3 linked regions of the Arabidopsis thaliana genome follow. The protein of the gene in region 3 interacts with the protein of the main gene of each other region in a pairwise test. Each region holds a gene or a part of one and is shown on either strand. Other genes may lie near its edges.

Evidence for each region.
Region 1: the proteins of AT2G18196 (region 3) and ZFHD1 interact in a two-hybrid assay, tested with the Arabidopsis thaliana proteins (one study listed by BioGRID).
Region 2: the proteins of AT2G18196 (region 3) and HB30 interact in a two-hybrid assay, tested with the Arabidopsis thaliana proteins (one study listed by BioGRID).

Annotation. Positions count from the first base shown.
Region 1 is NC_003070.9:26,179,070-26,186,758, reverse strand, and holds ZFHD1 (zinc finger homeodomain 1), read right to left. Parts: upstream 4,604-7,689; 5' UTR 4,290-4,603; coding exon 3,561-4,289; 3' UTR 3,213-3,560; downstream 1-3,212. UniProt on the Arabidopsis thaliana protein: Transcription factor involved in the up-regulation of several stress-inducible genes. Acts as a transcriptional activator by interacting with MED25 and NAC proteins. Involved in increased drought tolerance.
Region 2 is NC_003076.8:4,934,253-4,942,263, forward strand, and holds HB30 (homeobox protein 30), read right to left. Parts: upstream 4,956-8,011; 5' UTR 4,438-4,955; coding exon 3,622-4,437; 3' UTR 3,213-3,621; downstream 1-3,212. Other genes in the region: AT5G15200 (Ribosomal protein S4), read right to left, coding at 872-1,058, 1,411-1,792, 2,055-2,082; AT5G15220 (Ribosomal protein L27 family protein), read right to left, coding at 7,214-7,456, 7,560-7,684, 7,785-7,881. UniProt on the Arabidopsis thaliana protein: Putative transcription factor.
Region 3 is NC_003071.7:7,916,552-7,924,839, forward strand, and holds AT2G18196 (Heavy metal transport/detoxification superfamily protein), read right to left. Parts: upstream 6,043-8,288; 5' UTR 5,718-6,042; coding exon 5,580-5,717; exon of another isoform or gene 4,885-5,579; coding exon 4,809-4,884; intron 4,565-4,808; coding exon 4,242-4,564; 3' UTR 3,889-4,241; downstream 1-3,888. Other genes in the region: AT2G18193 (P-loop containing nucleoside triphosphate hydrolases superfamily protein), read right to left, coding at 1,070-1,582, 1,659-2,633; AT2G18200 (uncharacterized protein), read right to left, coding at 7,716-8,021. UniProt on the Arabidopsis thaliana protein: Heavy-metal-binding protein.

The DNA of each region.
Region 1 (7,689 bases), on a different chromosome or scaffold from region 3:
ATTTATGGAATCAGGTGCGAGATTTGTGGATGGGAAATTATTTCACTCTTACACAACTCTTCTTTATATATATGTGACATTTCGCTTTCTCATTCAATTTTGTAATTTTTCTCTTCTTTTTTTTCTTTCTGATTTGAATGTTTTTTTGCCTTGTGCTTAAGATGTCCAAAAGGAAGAAGAGAATAAAGTTTTTTGTTTTCTTGGGAAAAAAATGAATATTAATATCAAATACATTAGGATTTGAATTAAAATTATTCGAATAACTGTAATGAAACTTACTCTTTTTTTTTATCGGAGAACGGACATGGTTCGACGTGGGAGAACTCAAGAGTCAAACTTTACATTGCTTTTCGGGTTCTTCTCCATTTGTCACTTTGCTTCAAAACATTCATTGGTTCACTTGCCCTTTTTCTCTTGGAGTTTCAACTGTTATTTAATAAAATCATCTCTTTTGGTTTTTTGTCAGAAAAGAAACAATATCATCTTTCTAAAGTCATAATCTAAGATTTTCTTAAATTGTTTTCTTTGGTCACATATGAGATTTTCTTTCATGAATATCATCTTTAAACCTAATTTCTTTTCTAAAGTTGCAGATTGTACATTTGGGTGAACAAGCCAAAAATAGGATAATATCGGATACCAAGCTGGTAAAAGTATATAGATTTTAGAATTAAAAAATAATGTTTGTGAAATGCAAATAAGAGATATGATGATGGTAATTTGTTATTAAAATAGGATAATTTATTAAACGAGTAAAATTCGGATTTGAGTAGTTTTAAAGAATTTATTATTTATTATTTAAATGGGTAGTTCGAACATCTCAAACTACAATTTATCACATTTGGAAGCAGTGGAATAATGTTCTTCACAATCTCACAGTCTCGTCTCACCATACCACTTTTGAGCTGATGGATAAAGATATCATAACTGTAATCAGTCCTCGAAGACAAATGAAGCATTTTAGAAATTTAATGCAACTTTGGATTAGGTGATTTCACTTTGGTGTCTTCATAAATATTTGTAGCCTTGTTTTTTGACTTAAAAAGTTATAGGTGTTACATTTTGTAATCCCTAAACTTTTCATTTTTAATGATATTTATAGTTATATCACAAAAAAAAAGTAGTTGTAATAGTAAAGATAATTAGCGTTTCATAACTATTTAGAAAAGTTGGAAGATATAGATCAAGTAAAGGTATGATCGGGTCACGGTCGAGCCCGGACATACATGCCTATGGGGGGGCGACCAACGAAAAATATCAGCAGTTTCATGTTATGTGTAGCTGCTGGTGAACACTTGTAGCCTTATAGGTGTATTAATGAGTTTGGGTAACATGTAGAATTGTAGATAGTCGCGTGAGAGATTTTGGTCTTCGACCGTCCAAACATGGCCAAGTCACGGTCCAAAAACAAAATTGATTGACTATTATACGAGAGCATTTGGCAGATGCTCGTGTTACGTTGAAATTGAAAATTCCTTTTTAATTTCGAGTGCGATCGTTTATTAGTCCTTTTCTTTTAGGTGTTAAGCAAATTAATTATCATTTTCGTTTCATTTTCAACGTGCAATAGAGATGCAAGGCTACACGTGTCTCAATAAATTTGGACCAGACATTGATGCTGACGTATCCCATCCTCTTTTAATGTAGGTAAAATGGAAACTAGATTTAATAAATGGTGATTGGTGCATGTTTTATCTTATAAATTGTAAAGAAGGTAAAATGATTTTGTTTACTTTATAAAAGAAACTTATTTATTTTATTTTACTTCAAACAAAAAATTGACTTATTTAACCATTTGACTCATTTAAATGTGTTTATATACATCTTAATCACTACCTTATACATCTCCCAACCCAAGAAGACCTCTCTTGATAATCATTTATCTAACATAAATACACACTAGATAGATGATAAAGATGTTCCATGTGGTGATCAACTTATCAGTGTCCTTACCAATCCAAAGTAAAGCATGATGAGTTTTCCTGAGCTGCTTCGTCTCTGGCTTGGCTCAAAATTGCCACCGTGACTATACATATCGATTTTGGATGCAAGATCCCCACTGAAGGATTCTGATCTTTGACTTGGATTATGGTATGCTTCAACGGTTATACTTATACTTGACCAAGTCTCCGGTTGGTGAAAGACTTAACGGATCCCTAAGATACTTGGTTCGATTAGTGTCCTTTAGTGTGTTATTGGGTCTAGTCTCAAAAATCAAAAACTACAATGGGCTTTAGCTATAATGGAATTTTTTACATTGCTTTCCTCTTTGCATATTCCAACAAAAGAAAACATCTAACTAATAAAAACCTTTTTTTTTGAAATATCATCTAAAAAATGTGATACACGAAGACATGTTACATACTGTTGGTATGGGGATTATCCGTTGCTACTTTTTTCATCATTATGTAACATGTCTTCGTGTATCATATTTTTGATCCACTGATATAAGAATTTGATATCTACATCATCAATTAATCGGACCACTAACATCTAAAATCGATATTAGCTAGGTATTGGAATATTGTCCAATCGGAATCTTAATTAGTAGCATACAAAAAATTCAATCATCCAACCATAAACACATATACCGATCTATAATGTAAATTATTTTATCCGCCAAATGCATGTTAAACAATTTGTGTACCATATATTGATCATTAATCATTGCATGCAGTTACTCGTATCTACATAGAGCTTTTGCATACATTGATCTATCTGGCATGGATATTCGTACCGGCCTTTTGTTAAGGCTTGGGCTTCGTTACTTCGTACATACATGGTAAAATACTTTGTCTCCGGCATTGAACTTACGACCATTTATACGTGATAAAGCATTCGCTATGATTCGTTAATACATGATGAATGAAAGAAAAAAAACGAATTTTTAATATCAGTGGTGCGGGAAGAGCCAAATCATTGCACATAGTAGATATTTTAGTAATCGTAACATCTGCATTGTACTTAATTAGGATAAATAAGCAAGATTGGTGTTGCCAAAGCTTATCCCTAAATGGAAAGAGATAAGCCAGCATTTTAATAACTTTTAATCATATCATATAAATTAACAACAAAAATGTGCCGCCCAGTGACCTAATTATATTCCGCCACGCCATAGTTTGTTGCAATTCGTAATAACCACGTCGTCGTATCTTCATTAAGCAAACTTTACTTACTCTATCTCTAAAGTTCAGGAGATTTATTTCTAATAATACAGAAGATAACATTGAATAATCAGAAAGTAAACAAAGAAACGAATCTTTTGATCTCTACGATCACAATTAGCGCTTATGCACTTACTATAATTAGAAATGGTCTATCAAAATTCGTTTCAACCTCCGATTTAAAAACTTATTTATTACCAAACCCATTTGTGATCTCTGACCACATCTCTGTCAAAGTGATGAAAATAGAAAAGATCAAACCGCATAAATATTTATATCAAGATCGATTACATGTTAGAGAAAAGACACTATTATATGATTTTAAACCGGTTAATGCTCATATTTTCCCAAATTAAAGTATCCTAATTCGGTTTAACCCGAATCTTGAATCTTTCTTCAAGAAGATGAAGACCCATCACCATCATTGCTGTGAGTGTTCAGACACAGGCCATGTTCGATCTCTCTGATCTTGCCATTGAGAAGTGAGTACTTGTTGTTATGCATCCACACTTTAAGAACTCCTCTCTCAATCCCAACTTCGTTACAAAACTCTCTCACCGACTTTTCATCACATCCGTTGATTTTCCAACCAGCTTTCTCTGCGAAGGCTCTCATCTTGATCTTCTGCTCCGGCGTGAATTTGGTTCTTGTTCGTTTCCTCATTGCTCCTCTTGAACTGTTCTCTGACCTAACCACCGTTGGATCTTGATCTGACGGTCCAGGGAAACCGGAGCTGAGAGAGAGAATCACGTGATGTGGAGGAGCTGAGGTGTAGTAAGAGCAAGGAACAGGAGAAGACACGTGACGAGACGGCGGCGACTCAGTGCCGGAGGGAGAAGAAATCGGAGGCGCGGTGAGGAAGTTGAGATTCTCGGAAGGGTCACGGCGGTGGAAGTTACGGTGGCAGCCACAAGCAGCGCAACGGAGAGAAGAAGGATCGGTGGAAGTAGCCGTGGGACTCGGCATAAACTCGCCGCAACCGTCGAGAGCATGGCCGCCGAGATTAGCCGCGTGGTTTTTCAAACACTCTTTGTAACAAACACCCATTTCTCCGGTGACAGTTAGTTCTCCGGCGATGGGAAGAGAGTTTAGAAGTTGTTGTTGTGGTTTGGAAGACAAATCCATAGCTTTTGTTTAGTTCTGTCTTTATAGTGTGTTTACTTAAATCTTTTGCTTTTGTGATTAATGAGAAGATTAGGTTTTGTAGTTTTATTTTATTTATTAAAAAAGGATAATTATGTAAGTGCATGTGACGATGATGTAATTATATCGGTAAAGAACATGGCAGTGATGAAATATAATTAGGACTTGGAAAATAATAATAAGTGCTTACTCACAAACGTCCAAAACATACAGCAAAAGAAAGAAAACACTCACTGTATATCAATGAAAATTCACAACTTCTTTTTTACTTTTTTTTTTTCTTGTTTTGGTGAAACAGAGATTTTTTTGAATATTTTAGTCACTAGTTTTGATATCTATTCATACGTTATATAGACAGACTATACACTTTGAACCTGTATAAAATATTGAATCTGAGGTCTTATCAGAAAGCAATGATTTTACGGGACATTTGTAAGATATGGGTTTTCACTTTCACCAGTGGGTAACTTGTTGTGTAAAAGAAATAAAAAAGATGAATAATTTCTGAGCGTGACATAAAATTTTAATTAATCGAATATATTCGAAGGAGAGGATGGGATTAGTTGGAAGATTTGAGTCCAAAGTGTATACGTGGCAATAGCCCATTACATGCATCGTACTAAAGGACAATTACAGCTGCCCTGCAGTTTCATATTCCACTGTACATATTACAGTTTCTTATTTTTAAGAGTTTACGTTACCACCCCATACTTCTGTTAATTTCACTGTATCACCCCTGCATTTTTATACTAAAACGTTTTAATCTTTTCAATTTTGATTCTGTTTAGGGACCATTTTCTTATCTAGAGGTCTAAAATCGTAAATTTTCCTATAACGATAATCTAACTAAACAATAAAGTCAATAAAATTTCTTACTAGTATAGGTATTACGTGTTCTAGTGAAATATTTGACTTATGCTAATGTACTAATTCGTTCCAAAAGGAAAAGTGCTAAACAACTAGAAGATTTTGTAGATTACCGAAAACACCTCTAAAAGAACTTCTTTCGCACGAATACTTAATACTTGACTCAATCGTGGAGCAAAGAAGAGTTTGTTGTGACAATTGCCAAACTTCATGTTTCGTAATTAATCATGAAATTTAAATGTCTAAATTCCTTAACCACCCTTTGGAAAGACTCTTATCTCTTACCGACCTTTTATTCTCACTTCTTGTCATTAGTGTGGCGCCGAAATTTAGTGTTCTTTCGCATTTTGCTTACGTTATTGATTAGCTTTTGGGTCACAATTATGTGGTGTATGTCTTCAAGTCTTCCTCTTCTAAGTACCCCACAATTATTTTGAATCTTCATTAGCCATTTTCCATATCGATTCTTATAGGGTTTGTTTTTACAACAAATATAGTTTCTATCAAAAAAATAAAAATTGAAGGAACATTTTGTGACTAGTTATTGTTACTTTTATGATGATCCATTCATGAAAAAAATGATGAACCTTTTCTTATAAGTTACAATGTTACTACATGTGAATGTTATTGGTAAGATCAAACTGCATGGCTAATTTTGTTATTAATTATAATTACTAAGGTCTTTACTCTTTAGAATTAAAGTAACAAAACAAATCAGACATCAACATTCATTTCGTTAAGCTTTGGATACTCGTTTAATTAACTTAAAATCTTATTGAAAGGCATATAAATTATTCATTAATGTATAGTTAAGAGTCTGATCCCTGAAATGAGACTAATTAAAGCATTGTTTGCGAGGAGAATAAATGAATAACAGTTGGTGTTACGTTTTGTCGTTTATCATAAACCTAGTCACCAATCACGCTTAATTAGAATCCAATTTACAACAATCGGGAGATATTTGACCATACAATAAAAATAATTAAATAAACGTATTTATTGTTTTACTAATAATTCGTTGACAGAGACTTTGATTTAACAATTTATTTACTCGTATCACAATTAGAATCATAAAGACGGATTAGAACAATCTCCTAACGATCTTGTCAATGACCGAAATAGCACGCGCATCCCGCAAACCGGCCACTAAGGTTGGAGAAAAAGTCATTTGTAGCCGAAATTTTAAATGTCATATGATCATGGGGTCATTTTTGCGTAACGTTTCTATCTATGTATATACCTATTGAATAAGTAGGTAAATGACACAAAGTAAGACTTAATTAGATAAATAACAAATGCTAAAATTCACTACTAGAAAAATAAACAGAAACAAAGACTAGATAAAAAACGATAACTACCGTAAGCAATTTGTCTCTAAAGAGACGTGGTCACAAATATGCATAGCTAAACCGGAGATGCAAGGATACAAAGAAGTTAGTTTTTCCAAAGCTACTCCAAAGTATGATGTTGTCACTTGACTGGTTGTGAAAAGCAAAGTTGCAACATAATAAAGAATGATTAAATGGAACCAAAATGCGGATACAAATTGCGTATTTTGTAAAAATCCGTTGGAGACGAGAGAGCATTTGTTTTTTCAATGCCAGTATTCGAGAAAGGTGTGGGAAGAGCTGATAACTCAGACAAAATAGAAGGATATCACGAGAGAGCTTGCGAGTAAAGATCTTGATTCCACAACAAAATTTATTCCCAAGTACTGTTTCAAAACACGATACTCTTTATTTAGTGATAAAGAAATGAGAGGAGGCACGAGACCAATCTTCGACCACGAAGAAAATCGTTAAATTGATTGACAAGAACATGAAATCCGTTTGAGCGTACTAAGAAGAAGAGGTGAAGATAGATCATAGAATCTCTTAATAATTTATTTTAAGAAAAATTTACATTCATATGTATCAATGTTTTTTTGTTTTGTTTTTGAATACAATTTAACATTAGATTCAAACAAGATACATATTTTTTTTAAAAACTATTTTTATATTTCCATCATTAAAATTGTATAGTAAAATTATAAATCCATTTTATTGATGGACAACGATAAATCTATTAATTTATGCAAATTTTTTCTTAAAGTTAAAAGATGGATTTAACTTTAATCATCGAGCACAAATCAAACACATCAAGGCTGGGCAGGATAAAAAAATATCTAAAGGCCTAGGCCCAAAGAGAGTTATTTTTATGAACTGGGCCTAACAACTAAACTAAGCTCTCTGGTAGCACCGTTAGGCCCTCGGCGACTGAACCGTCGTAGCGAGCCGTTCCTTGCGGCTAGGTGCCAATGATTCTCCTCCCCACCGTATGAGGAAACTGCTGATCCGGCGGCGGAGTTAAACTCGCCGGAAGATGTATTCGGAGAATAACTGTAAGTCCTCGTATTCCGCTGGTTTTCATGGCGCCTAAGTAATACTTCGATTTTGAGAGGTTGATCTACCGATTATTAGTTGGATCGCATCACAATGTAGGTATTAGTTCCACTAAAATCTTCATGTGATTGTAA
Region 2 (8,011 bases), on a different chromosome or scaffold from region 3:
CTAATACTAATTTTTTCAACTTTTACGTGGAGATGTAACTAATTAACACAAAAATTAATTCTTGTAATAATAACTGAATTATGATGGTCGAATGATTTGGTAATCTTAAAATGTAAACATTACAAGATACACATCTCCATCAGTAGATTTTCAAAATCAATCATAAAATGTAGACGCCAAAATATAATCATAAAAAATGTCAAAGGCTATTTCAAAATTTTAATACGTGTGAAAATGGGATTGATCTGTTTGTCTCTCATGTCTCACATCGAGGGATTAATGAATAATGATACCACTATATTCATTTACGTGTCGGAATAGCCGACCGTGCTTGAATCTTTTATGTATAAACAAAATATAAATGGTACTTATAAAACTGTTTTACCATGGTAAGATGGTTTCCACGTAGTTTGCATGTACCACGTGTGAAAACCGAGTGTTGGGGAACCAAATGGCAGTGAGAGTATATTTGTATAATCGCGGACGGTGATATCACTAATATTATTTCAATAGTTGCAAATCATAATGAAAATAGGCCAGACACAGCAAAGTTTATGGGCCAAAGATTTCAATTTGGACCTAACAAATGTATGTAACAAAGGCTATAAAATTGAAGTGCCATACGAAACTAGACAATCAATTTCGCTTAGTATAATTATCTTTTTTAGCATAAATATAAAGATAACTAGAGAGATAAGGCAAAACTTTAAAAGATAATTGTGAGAAATAGATGATAACCCAAAGGTTTAGCAATCTCGAGAGTAAAAGAAAGAAACCATAAAACAATCCTCTGAAAACGAACAACAAAGTTGCTTACTACAAAATATCAAAAAGCAGATTGATTCATAGCTAAAACGGTGCGACTTCAGATTTACTCTTCGTCATCACCGTCTGCATCACCGCCACCTGAGGCTTTCTTGGAGGCAGACTTCTCGTTCCTTCTCTTCACTCTTCCTGGACGGCCACCACCGAAGGGACTGGTGAGGGCAAAGTCAATGTGCTTCTGTGAATCAAGTCTCACCATGAATGATGGAATGTTCACCAATTGCTTTCCAACCCTACAACAACACCCGAAACAAATATGAGTACCCAATTTTTAAGATCATATCAAAACACACTTCATATTAAGCCACTCAAGAGGCACAAGTTATCAAGACTTGCGTGAACTTAAGAGCAACCAATAAAACGTTTGAAGAAAGATCAAACCAAAAGACAGTACAAACTCATGAAAGACTACAATCTGTTAGACCAAAGAGACAGTGTTTAAAGAAGTGTAACACAAAGCCGAATCATTCAAAGATAATCATGAAATGGAAACAGAGAAAATGTTAATTTCATTTCAGATCCTATCAATTGATATAACAAAGATAATTCATACACAAGCACAAATAAATCGAAGAGATGCAATACCTGATATGCCTCTGCCTGATGAGGACACGAGAGTGATGGATAGACTTAGCCATACCAGACTTGAACACAATAGTCTGAAGACGACGCTCAAGAAAGTTCTCAACAGTCAAAGCCAAGACGTAATCGAGCTTGTTCTGGCTCTCATCAAGAAGCCCGTAACGGTTCATCCTACGGAGCAAAGCCTCACCTTCAAAGATCCTTCTTGGACTCTTCTCATCAAGAGTCAAAAGATCTCTAGCAGCATTACGGATACGGCTAAGAGAGTACTGCACTCTCCAGAGCTCACGCTTGTTACGCAGACCATACTCACCAACCAGCTTCAATTCAGAATCAAGACGCTCCTTCTCGTAAGGACGACGTGGTCCCTTGAAGGTCTTTCCATCTATTCAACAACAAACACACACATTCATACAAAATTATCAGCATAAAGGTTAGATCTTTGAGGCTCGTATCTAAGATTGATTCATTTCAGAAACTAAAACCTCAAAAGTTACAACAACCCAGATTCACAATCTATATATATAACACAATCAAAAACCTCAGATAATCCCTAATCTATCATTTGATATTGAGAGAAATCACTACGTAGATCGAATCGAAAATGAGCTGTGATATAAACGACGAAAAGGAGAGAAGAAGCTTACAGTTGCGGTAGTAGCAAACGTGCACCATATTTTCGTCTCCTTACTGCAAATTCGGCGATCTGAATAACTAGGGCACGCAGAGAGGAACGAAAGAGACGAATGAACTAATTTATAGGATTTCTTAAAACCCTAACGCTACACTCTCACTTTCTTTATTGGGCCTTTACGAATTAAGGCTTTATATTGGGCCTTTACGAATTATGGCTTTATATTGGGCCCGTTTTGAGATGTCGATTTATTTTTGAGTCTTGCGCTTGGGCTCGAATTTATTTTCTTAATCATAAAATTATTTTTATGCACTGAATAGTGGTACCTAGAAATGTCATTTGAACAAAAAAAAAAATGTCATTTTACATGTCTTTTGGCATTTAGATTATATCATTAAAAAAGTTGATGAAAAAAAAAAGATTATATCGTAAAAACAAATAATTGCAATATTTTGTTGAGATGTTTTACCAGTCTTGCCTTAATAGAACAGCAAGAATATATTATAAGTGAGTGGTGTCTCCAATCATATTAACCTAACGTAGTGCCTAATCTTACCAACTCTTAGTTGTATCTTTTACCATTTCAACAAATAAACAAACAGGTGTTAACTACTAGCATCGAAAATAAACACACAAAATAGTAACTGTGTTTTCATGTTTTTGAGTTATCTACATATACATTTTTGCAGCCACTATATGAAATAAATCTTCAAGTTGAGACTTATTTACAGTGGTTGTCACTGGCATTTAATAATTATTTTTGATAATTAGAAAGTAAATTTTCGAATTAAATATTTGACATTTAACTATCTTCTCAAAATCTCTCTACAATAACTACACGATTAGTTACTAAAATAAAACTTCTAAAATATTTAACATCATTTAAAAATTACAAAATTATCATTTTTGATATTGCTTTTTTTGCATGACTATAACAATTCCATTATACGCATCAACCCACATAGATATTTTATAGCAGTTAATTATTACAAAATTACAAAATATTTAGACAATGATTTATAAACATATCATAAATAAGATCAACATTAATAAAATAAATAGTTTTTTTTACTTAATAACAATTGTAAACTATAAAATAAAAATATTTTATAGATAGATACAATTTGTAAACTTTTATATATACTAACTTAAAAAAAAAAAAATTGTCCTTGCGGTATACCGCGGGTTAAAAATCTAGTAATGTCACATAATTGCAACAAATTCCCTCATTTCTTTCATAAATTTCTATATAAAGAAAAAAAGTAAAAATAAAAAAGCAAACTGATATAGAATTTAGAAAACAATTGGATTAATTGACTTTGTTATTCGGTTTTAGGAGGTTACTCATTTATCTTTCTTCTCACATTTGGTCGAAAGATACAACTCAAATCACCTCTCTAACAAAGATAAACTACTAACAAGAGTACAAACTACAAGACATAACAAAACAAAGTGGAATAGAAAAAAGATTTTGACCCGTTGACTAAAAATAAAAAATCTTCAAAACACAGAGAAGAAAAACCAAAAAAGAATTAGCCTCTAAAACGACGACGCTTTTTCAACGCTTTCCATTCTTTTCCTCACGTCGAAGAAAACGACCCATTTGTCGGAACAACACTCTGACGACTATCTCCTACTCCTCCTACTACTACTCCGCCGTTAGCTCTTCTAGCGCCGCTGCGTCCTGAAATCTTGTTGTTATGCATCCACACTTTGAAAACGCTTTTATCAACTCCAATCTCCCGACAAAACTCCTTAACCACCACGTCATCAGCTTTCGGCATCCTCCACCCAACTCTCTCCGAGAACTCGAACATCTTCTCCTTCTGATACTGACTAAACTTCGTCCTAAAACGTTTCCTAGACATTGGAACCGCCGTGTTAGCTCCTCCTCTTCCTCCAGAGAGTGCGAGAAGCATGTAAGAAGACGAGATCGGCGGTGGAGAAGCTGAATCATCGTCGTCTGGACTACGAATCCCCGCCAGATGAGGAGGAGGCGGTGGAGGAAGCTGGTGACGGTTGTGAGGTCGAAATTCGATCGCAGGGACGATGGCAGAGAGAGAAGATGGATCCTCCTCACGGCGGTGGAAGTTACGGTGGCAACCACAAGCAGCGCACGTTAGTGAAGCGGGGTCATTGGAGTTAAACGACGGTGACGGCATAAACTCGCCGCATCCGTCTAAAGCGTGACCGCCGATACCTGCTGCGTGATTCTTTAGACATTCTTTATAAGTCGCAACCGCAACCGCTTCAGATGCAAGATGATGGTGGTGGCAGCGTTTGCCGTTTGAGAAAGAAATAGGCTTCGCGGGCTGGATCCGGATCGGAGCTTCGATTTCGGGTTGTCGTGAATCCAAGTCGGATACTATAGTAGTTGTAGTAGCTATTACATCCATGACAACTCAAAACATTTAGGGTTTCGAAAAACAAGAAGAAGAAATGTTTTGTAAACTTGGGTTTTGGTTATTGTAATACAAATAAGATTTAAGAAACAAGAAGTATTATAATTTTCTAGAGATGGAGGAAGAAGAAGAATAGATGATAGAAGTAAAGATAAGGTAAAGATTGCACTAAACAAAACTGTTTTTAAATTGTAAACTCGAAATCTTTGGGATGGGTTTATGTATTTGGGAGAGATAAGATTAGAAAAGGGGAAATTTAAAACTATGTATTATTTACTCAAGTCTCTCATGGAGGAAGAAAGAGATGAGAAGTTGAAGACTGTTGATAATGAGAAATCCAAGTTGTGTGGTTGAGATTCATAATCATTATGTGTTTTTTTTTTTTTGGTTGAATATTTTTTTTTAACCATGGTTTGTTGACCCCATCTAGGGTTAATGAAAAAAGATAAGTGTAATAAATATAGGCTAATAAATAGAGTTCATAGAACAGCATCTAATGTGAGTCATGTCTTTTTCTTTTTGCTAAATTTGTATCTCCATGACGTTGACAACTTTAATAATATATACTCCAATTTTATATCAATATTAATCTTTTTTGCTACCTTTCAAATTTCAATTATTATTATTTCTCGTTATTTTTTTTTATTTTTTTTTCTCCTTATTTAAGCTGAAAATTTCGTGTGGAAGTAAAGCATGAATATAATTAAGGTTGATTCGGGTTGTTGATTCAATGATGTTAACTAAAGACAAAAGTTAATATTTCGTATTGTTGATCAAAAGCAATGTTTATCCAAAAATGTTAAAATCTCGACCTTCCCTAGTTTTATAGTTCATGGTTTGTCTTCAATCTTATGTCGAAAAAACTATCAACTTACAATCTTAAAAGTTACTCTACTACCAAATTTTTGCAAAAAAAACTATGACTAGCTTAATTTATTTACTTCTCAACTACTCCACTAATTAACTCAAAAATGTTTATTGACTATACATGTTGACGGTTAAAGTGGCCTTAAGAAAAGGAGACCACAACTAAAAAAGCTGACACGAGCAGTGGTGAAGAACGATGCCGTTTACTCCAAACTTCTTTAAAGCTGTATAAAAAAGTCTTTAATCAGAGAGGTGTAGACCAAACCTAAGATCGTTTGCAAATCCATTACTAATAATAAGTGATAAACTAACAATTCAAAGCAAAAACTCCATAAATAATTGATAGTATACCAATTTTTTTAGGAGATTTGCTAAAATATGACCGATAAATTTTATCAAAAAATTCAGACAAATTTTATGGAAGTTTTAATTTTGATGCTCTAAATCCAACGGTTGAATTCTCCGTCAAAATTTTGAATTTTAACGGGTTTCTAAAATGTCGTCTGTTTTCTTATAGTAGTAACGTAATTGTAAATCTCAACTCTTAAAACTTTTTCTTTCTTTTGACTAATGATGATATGAAATTGTCTAAATACCAAAAACAGCTAACACGCGTACATATCTTGCAACATGGCGCTACCTAATCAAACCATGTTCGTCTGTTATGGAAGACAATTCTCTTCTTCTCAAATACATTGAACTTTAACATTATACTTTAATTAATGTAGGTATATATTACGACTTGCACGACTTACCATAGCCAAAATAGGGAACCACCGTATCAACATTTCAAGCATTTAGATATAACTTGATTGTTGATTGGTCTTATTGTTACCGCACTACGATTATCTATAGATTTCATAGACAACAAAATAATATAACACATATATTATTGTTTTAGAAATAGTTATAAGGCTTTTTACTCTTTAGTTAGGAAGAATAAGGCAAACCGACATTAAATAAGCTTTATGCCCATAACAAGGATAATATTAATTAGTTTTTTTTTTTCAGGATATATTATCTGACGCAATTATTTGATGATCTATCTGTGATTTTTTCTTTCTTTCTAAAATCTATTATATGTTATGCCTGTATATGTTTTATATATACACATATCCTACTTTATGTATGTGTGCAAATGCAATTGGAAGGATTTATCATATACGATGAATGTATCGCATGGGTGGTTAGTATGCATTAATATGGACTGTTCTTAAGATTTGTGAATAAAGAAAAAAACAATGACATCTTCTTCTTCCTTTTTTTGTGTTATAAACGAAATGATTTTATTTTAATTGTATTGTTTTTGAATAGGAATGTGTAAAATTACAAGAAAATAATAATTCAAAAACTAAATATTGATGTGCATGGCAACTTGAGAAGTATTTGAGGAAACTTTAATGGCTAAAACAAGTTGGCTCTTGATTTCACATTATGCCAAAAACAAAGCTGGTTCGTCCATATATGATAATATGAGAGAAATTTATGTTTGAAATTTTAATTGAAATTTTAAACCCGATAGGATAAATATGTTTCTGATTCAATGAACGGATCTAGCCGCGTTGACGGGCCAGAGCCTGAGGCTTAGAATGTTGGCCCATTATTCGATGAGTTTATAACGGGCCGGGAAAACATTATCTCAGACTGTTACTTGTCTGTTTTGCGTAACACATATGAGAGAAACTCAGACTTGATTAACATCTATTTCCGAATAAAACTTGATTTGTTGAATCCAAACAAAGCCCTTCATCAAAATCCAGACAAAGACTAGAGGGAAACAAAACAGCAGATGTTATTGAATTGAGTGGTTCTGCTCTAAGATAGCATCATCTTTTACTCGAGAGATCACATGATCTAAAGGAAATGAAAACCACGTTTAGATTGTTGCAATCAGTATTCACGACTATGAAGCTGTCTTCAACTTAGTCGATTGAGCAGCTGCAGCTTTTGTGTAGATAGGGTGAAGAACATGACCACCTGTTGGATCAACATGAATCCATTTGCGTCCTGTAATCTTGCTTTTCTCGAACCTGACTCGTCCTTCCTTCAATGCAAACAGAGTATGGTCCTTACCAATCCCCACATAGTCTCCAGGATGAAACCGAGTTCCCCGTTGACGAACTATGATGTTTCCTGGTATCACACTCTGCAAAATCACACACACACACAGGCAAACATTATTTTCTTCACACAGACCAAGACTGATTTGATTATCAAAATCTTATCTCGCTTGTTATTTATTTTCTTACCTCTCCTCCGAATTTCTTAACACCGAGAAACTTGGGATTAGAGTCACGACCGTTCTTTGTAGAACCAGCAGTTTTCTTAGTAGCCCAACGCTTGAAGACCAAACTCAAGCCACTTGAAGAACCATCTTTAACATCCCCAAAACAAGAACAACAGCAACAATTACACAAATGAGTTAACTAGTTAAGATCATCAAAATATAGATTTTGAAAAGCGCAAATCTATACCGGAAATGCTACTGCCACTATAAGCAGGAACCTCAGTGATCAGTTCCCTCAAACTAACTCTTCTGCAAATGGATGCTGCTGAGTTTAAGAAATTCATTTTTTTCAGGAATCTGCAAGCAACAAAGAGCAATTCAAACATTAATCATTCAAGTAGAATCAAATCAATACTATACAAACCATTTCATCAAATCTTCTCGAGCAAATGGAGTTTTTTCATTCACACTCGA
Region 3 (8,288 bases):
GATTTAGGAGAGTCTGTTAAGTCAAGAAAAAGGAAAAATTATCTTTGTTTGAAGACAAAAAGAATCATATAAGCAAAAGGGAAATTTGCTTGAAGAGAAAAGCAAATTGACAATATAGAATTTAGAAATATGTCTTATGTGTGATTGGAGAAACTTGAGGTGCAAGTTTGTGTTTGTTATATAAGAAGGATGTGGCCTTATGAGAATGTGGATGTGTTAGAGTAATAATAAGAAAATTGTTGGGCTTTTACTAATATACTAGGATTTAACCCACGGTTTATCGCGGGCTTCGGTTTTATATGGTTTTTAATTAAGTATTTGATTATATTTTATATTGTAAATTTATAAAATATTTCTTTTATTTTAAAATTTTATAAATACTGATTGGGATTTTTATTGGTTGGTCGTTATTTAGTGATTATAATAATATGTTTTAATGTGTTTAAATATGTATATTAATTAGTAAATGTGTATGTAATTTAAATATAAGTAAAGTAGTAACAAAAATGTAAAATAGTAAAAGTGGTGTAATTCTTTTTGTGATTATAAGTGTTTTTTGAAATATTTTATTGTGATTATAATTCTTTTTGAGATGGAATATGCTCATATTTAGATACCAAAATGAAGTAGAGATACCAATATTGTTGAACGGTTAAGATTGTCTACTTTGAATGGTAAACCCGATTAGGTATTTGAATTCGTGATTAAGAGATCACTACTCCTAACCCACCCGAAATTAAAAACGTTGATCCTACAAGCTTTAATAGATTGAGTTGATATGCACATCCATTCTTTATGCACCTCTGTTTCTTCCTTATGTTTTGTTTGGTTTGGTTTCTTTATTAAAGTCGAGACTGTTTAGTATGCCAAAAAAAAAAAGACTAATTTGAGATAATTTTGGTAAAAATAGTTCCAGAGACGTAAAATCTATTTTCTCGGAAGCTTCAGTCAAAAGTAGAATGTTTAGAACCATACAAAGCTTTATTTATTTGGCATAATGTTGAACACAGGTTTGATTTACCATGTTACACAACACAACACAACAGATCATATTGTTCAAAGTTATCTCTTATATCAAATAAGTTTTGGCCTTTCCTTTACCTTTCCCTTTACCTTTCTGTTTACCCCCTTTCTTCTTCTTCTTTACACAACCCAAAGAACCATTCTGTTTTTCGTCATCATCAGTTGCTTTACAAATAGAAACCTCCTTCTTAGTCTTGCTTCTCTCAACCTTCCTCTTCTCAACAAAGCTTATTACTCCACGAAGAACAACGTCAGTATCATCGTCTTGCATCAGCTCTTCAGCTAACTCAGCTGGAGTAACTTCAGTAGAATCGACCAGCGCCTCGATTTCCTCGCAAAGAGGATGGTTTAAGCCATCTAAACCAAGGTAGTTAGAGACCAATGTCCTAAATCCTAAACCTGTACAATAAGACATGTTGATATGCACATCCATTCTTCCAGGACGTAGCAGAGCAGGATCAAGCCGTTCTTTGTGATTCGTCGTGAACACAATGATTCTCTCATCTCCGAAACTCGACCATAAACCATCAATGAAATTCAGAATCCCTGATAGAGTCACCTGCTCAAAGACAATATCATAATCAGAACTAAAAACCAATAGATTCTCTCAAACTCAAATCCAAAAGATATCTCACCTTTCCCTTAATTTGTTCATCTTCTTGATTCTCAGCTTCCCTATCTCTCACTTCAGCATTACAATCAATATCCTCAATAACCAAAATCGAACGATTCGTCGTAGATAACAAAACCCTCTTCAACTCACCATTGTCATAAATACTACTAAGCTCAAGATCAAACACATCAAACTTAAGATAATTCGCCATCGCAGCAATCAAACTAGATTTACCAGTTCCTGGTGGCCCATACAACAAGTAACCTCGTTTCCAAGCTTTACCAACTCTTTTGTAAAACTCCTTCCTCTTCAAAAACCTCTCCAAATCATCGATGATCTTCTTCTTCGCATTCGGATCCATCGCCAACGTATCGAACGTAGACGGATGCTCGAGATTGATACATCCCCAATTCCCACCAGCCATTCCATCATCATCATCACTAGCATACACATCTCTGCTATAAAGCTTCACCACTCTCAGATTCCTCTTGATCTCCTCGGATTCGGCTACAACGTGGGTTAAATAAGAGTTCAAGACTTTGTCTCTAAGCTTCTTCTCGAATGTGAGCTCGTAGTAACGTTTCACTTTATCTCCTTTCTCGTTCTCCGATTGAACATAACTCCATTTCACCTCCGACTCCTCGAAAGTATCGAGGATCTCTTCGCCTCTTTCGATAGAGATTGTGAAATGCTTCTGTTTTGGGATCTTACCAACTCGCAACCGCTCTGTTTCCGGTCCGATCTTGCTCCTGAGATACATCTCCGCCGCGTCGAAGACTTGATTCCGGTTCAATCCGAAGTTCTCGTCGATGATCACAGTGAGATACTTTGATTTCGGAGTGAAAAACCGGTCGAGTAAGCTGGAGAAGTAAGATCGAAGCTTCTCCGGTACGAAATCATGGAGCATCGATCTAAAGAGCATCAAGAATCCGGTTAAAGATGCGTACGCTGAGAACAGCGACGACGGTGAGAAAGAGAAATCTGATGAAGGAAACATTGTCGGCTGAAGTAAAAAATTTCCGATGACCTAGAGAATTTTATTCCGGTGAAAGAGAGTGAGAGAGATTTGAGAAAAGGTTTTAGAAGTGATGAGTTAAAAATGTGAGAAATAGAAGATAGGCTTTATAGAAGCACATGGCAAACACTTTTGTCTGTTTCACATTTAAGGATAGAAAATTAATAAGAGACATTTTGAGGGAAGCGAAAAAAAGTAAGAGACTTGCAGAGGAAGGAAGCGTGCGGTGCAAGGAAATTACTTGACGTCCGTGTACACGTCAGAGGTCAATAGTAAAGTGACACGTGACGGATCCACTTGCTTCTTTTTTTGTTTGATTTGTTCCGTTCGATGAAGAACATATTCGACGAATACGTCAAATAACATCGACTCAAAATATTATTTTTGTTATTTTACTCTTTTGGAATATCTTTATTTTCAAAATGGATAATTTAGTTTACTTTGTTAAAAAAAACGAGTGGAATATTAATTATTTACATTTCTTTACATTTCAGTGTTTTCCAATCAAAACCTTTTTGACGAATCATTTTTATCGTCTTTAGTGTACTAAGAGCATCTTTATTGGTAAGCTTTTAAATTATTTCTTAGGATAAGAACGCCTCACTTTAACTCTTATATAAGAGTTAAAGTGAGGCGTTCTTAATAATCAATCACAAAAAAAAATTTTAAGAACTAATCTAAGAACTTACCAATAATGATGCTCTAAGATTCGACCATCCGATTTCTTCAATTAAGAAAAAAGAGATCAATATGAAAAAATCATTTTTAACAAAAAATATATGAAAAAACATGTTAGGTTTATTTAAACTTTATTAAAAAAAGAAAGAAGAGAATCTAGATTTTTGATATAAAATGGTGTATCATTCTAGAATAATAGTATTGAAAATTTGCCTCTCTCTTAGTGGGGCGGTGGTATTATTAGTGTATGTTGTTCGTTCAGGCCCAAAATAAAACACAAGAGCCCAAGCATTTTTTTTCCCCATATGCACTATAGACAATAGAAGAAGTTTGAAGCTTTCAATTTTCAAAGCTTCATTCAACACAATCTGATCGTAAGAGAATGCAAGATAGACAAACAGAGAGACAGATTGCGATAGGTTCGGTTTGTTCAAGATAGACGTTGTTTGTTCGGATTTTTTCTGTTTCAGAGGCCTAGAGGCAAAAACAAATGGTTGAACTATGGACATTTTCATGTAAAATGAAAGAGGATCGGTCATAAACAAACAATGCATATTATCTCATTAGACCATTAGCAATTTCAACAGTGGCCACAAATTTAGTATATACCATCTGGCTTATAGCATGTTTATGTATAGTTTTATAGGAAAAGGACCAAACTTTGATACCATGTACAGTTTACTAATTCCAAACCGAACCGAACAGAATTGTTTTACGGTTCAGCCGGTAATATTTTTGGATAACCGAATAACAGATAAACCGAACCTAAAAAAAACGAATGCCCAAGACTAATAAAGCATTGTGTTCCTTTTTACTTGTCTCACTTACGCTTATGCATAAAAGCTATTCAATCAACCCTATAAATGATACAACAAATATAAACACATAGATACCTAAAAAGAAGTGAGGAAATTACATAAGGCTACATGCGTGGACGTTGTCGTCGTTGAAAAAGTTGCTCATTTTGTCGTCACCACGGTTGGTGACGTGAATGTTACCGTGACGGTCACTAAGGTTGTAGCCATGGCGATAGTAGTTGTAGCTCTCCCTAAACTCGCGGGTGGTATCTTTGAAGTAATGGTCAGAGGAAGTGAAGTAGCGAGGCATGTCCGGGTAGGGCCAGAACTCGGCTCGTTTACCGGCTCTTCTCACCGCCTTGAGCACCTTCTTCCTCTCTACGTACCCAACCACCGTTACTCTCTCCATCTCTAGGTTCACCTCCACCGAGTCCACCCCTTCACCACCAAAACAACGCCCGTTTAGTTACTAGTTTGATATATTCACAATATTACCCTTTTCTATATAGGAGTGTTTTAGCAAAACAAAAAACATATTACAATTTTTTATGAAAAATATAAAGTTATTATTCTATAACCATAATTTATAATATAAAATTTAATATTCGTTAATTTAACGAAAATATTTTATGGAAGAAAAGAAATTAGTTATTTTCGAAAACACTCTGAATTATAACATTACCTCTCAGCTTGTAAATGGCATGCTTGACAACCCTCTCACATCCACTGCAACACATCCTTACTTTCAGGTCTATCGTCTGTTAATTAGCACCATTCATATATTACAAACTAATTAGAACTAATATGACTGCTTCAAAAACAATTAGTATTAATATGTGATATATGTCCATAAAGAAAAAGGTAATTAATTAGAAGAATAATTATTTAAATGACCAACTCTCTGCTGAATCAGCCAAAGGATATTATAATCACATATAGTAACATCCACTAGTGAGACAAACTTATGACATTCCGTTTCAGTTTTGTCCGATTCCCCTAAACGAATCAATAAAAATTGAAAAGACATTTTTTAACTAACAAAAGAGAAAAAAAAAAATGAGCACAATGAGTACTTTAATATTCTTTTTGCGATCGAGAATCTGTTTTGCCAACTTATTTACAAAATTAGAGGAGATCAGCTAACTATAGTTTGAACTTTGATCTTTATGTTTAGCTAAAAAAAAAAAGCAACTTAATTCGCTCTAGCTACCATCATCACAAACCTAACAAAGTCATACCTTTCTCTAAAAACAAAAATCATTTGCACTCTTCGTTCAATTAGGCATGTATCAGAATAATAACGGTTTGAAAGATAATTGTTACCAAAATTTATTCTATTTTAATGAAAAACTAATATCATGATCATAGAGTCAATTTGAGACTAAAACTACATAGATACATGAAAATTATGGTCGATTATACTATATAGATACATAAAAAGGAAAGAGAATACCTGTAAAGAAAGTGGACGAGCCATTGGCATGGTGTGGTAATGGTTGAGGTGGCTCACACTTTTGAACTTTGGCTTCTTATGTGGATAGCGAAAGAACAAACAGTAAGTGATGGTAGATATGAAGGAGCCGAAACCCATTTCTCTGCTCTCTCTCTTTATATTTATACGTTGCTAGATAGAGAGATGATTAGGACTCAACAAACTTAGAGAAGAAGCAATAAATATATAAACAAGAGGAGTGCATGGAGGGGTTTAAAACAAAGAATAAGATTAGACAGAACGGAAGATATGCCTTTGGAATCACTTCACTTTGTAATAAGTTATGATCTCTTCTTTACCTCCAAAAAAAAGAGTTGTGATATTTATTTTTATGTTGCAAAGTCATTTACATGTAGAAAATATGACTCAACACATACTAATTTCCGCTCTTAGCTAATTCTGTGGATAACATATAGTAATAACTTTCATAATTAAAGCTTCTTGTAATTATAATTTATTAAAAAGCGTTAGTCTTAGTCTTGACATAATGCGAAGGTATCAAATGTTTTAAATGCATTTCTAAAGAAATGTGGCACTATAGTTTATGCATGATGTATATAATCAAATCAAAAGAATATAAATTGTCCTGGTTTTATGGCTTAATTGGTCATCACCAATAAAGTGGCCGCAACCGCATTATCCAGTGCACATTGCTATAAAGAGAAGATTTTATTAAAGATCCAAACGAAAATATAATAAGTTGATTTAGAATATATATAGTTTTATACCCAGTGGAAGGAGACCATAAGACTTTTTGTATATCATTATCTACTATGAAGTTTAATTAAAGAGTATGTAACATCTAATAGAGAATCAGAGTAGAACATACACAGTTAAACCGAATATCAAGGGTACTGATTTATGTTCCCTTAGATTAGTGCTGTAACTTTTTTCTAGGAGAATTGCGGAATGTTTAAAGTAGAAGTTAATTATATAAAAATCATGAAATCTAAATGTTAATTTGAAAAAAAGCATACATGAAATATTTTTATATTTGAAGAATAAACAATTACAGCTCCCATTTAATCTAGACGGACAATAGTCCATAGATGCTAAGATGATATAATATTCTCGAAAATCTTTATCGTCGGTAGATAGAAACGAAACCATAGATTTAAGTTTTTTTTTAAAGAGCATATTTAGATATGTCACATGTGTCAGTATCATCCGGACTAGAAAAAATATCAGGAGAGAACACGATATTCCCACGCAGATATTGTAAACATGAAAAAGACATATCTATATTGATGGATGATCTTAGAGAATCAATGTTGATAAAGGTGGATGAGTTAGAGAAATGGAGCATGTGCTGCTCCTGCTTCTGCTTCTGCTGCATGGCCCTGATTAAGAAACCACTCGCTCGTCTCATCTCCATTTCTATTATTCCTTATTCCTAAGTTCCCTTATTTTTATTATTTAAGAAATATTCCTCCTGAAAAACTTTATTCTTCACCCTTTATTTTTCATGTGTGCTTGTAAGTTGTAATCCAACTAAGAAAAAAACAATCCAAAGCTTTTTACCAACTTAAGAAAAATAAGGCCATGGATGAGAAACTTAATTCGACTAAGTAAAAGACACTCCAATGTTTTTGGTTGATATACTAATTGACTTACTTGTGAATTTTGCTAGATACACCAATATATAATAGATGAAGGACGTTCTCTTACGTTGATATGTCACTAATGAGAAACTTAATCTGACTTAAGGCCAAAGACACTCTAATGTTAATCTGTTATTATGTTATTTATTTTCTTAAGTAATTTTTTTTATATTACAAAGATTATATAATATGATGTTATAACTTATTATATATATATATATATATATATTAATATATATATATAGATTTCGTGAATATTAGTTGAATTTACAGTTCATTTAACGACTATATAAAGTACCAAATAAACATTAGTTTTCTGTCTATTTAAATAAGAAAATAATTATTATTTTTTATTTCTTTATAAAATAAGTAATCGTAAATAAGCGTTAAATAATATAACTATTTATAATAATTAAAAAACTTAAGATGAATTATTTACTCAAAAATTAGAAAAATACATCAAAATGATTAAAATAAAATAAAAACAGTGAAATGATTACTTTATCAGGCTAACTGAATCGATGTAAATTTTTATAAATAACATATATATGTAAATAACATGAGTGAAGATTGGATGGCTCAATTTGCTTGTCACCACTGTCTTATTTGGTTTTTGGCGTGGAAGCTTTTCCAAAATCGCAGGAAAGTCTCCACCAAGCCTATCGATATGGAGCATAGTAAGGAACGGTCGTGAGCTCCTTAGCTTTGCTCCGAGTAAGCTAAAGTTGGAATGCTTGGTTACACACTCGTATCCACTGCGACGGCTCCTTGTTCTTGTGGTTAGGGTTCTTAGCAATTGCATTATTGGGTTATTGTTCTTTTTGGTGGCGATCAAAGTTGAAAATTAATGATGTTGATGCGAAAGATATCGCCAAGAGAAGTGTTGTTGTTTGTGGTTATTGTAGAGAGAGAGTTCGATTGTCTTAATATACTGTAGTTTTGTTGATATAATATACTATAATGACTTTGCATTATTTAGTTAAGTTGCCGATATGAAAAATTCAAACTTTCGTCCCGTTTTAAAAAAATTAACAAAGACTAGGACTTGCATTAGTACATGATAAACGTT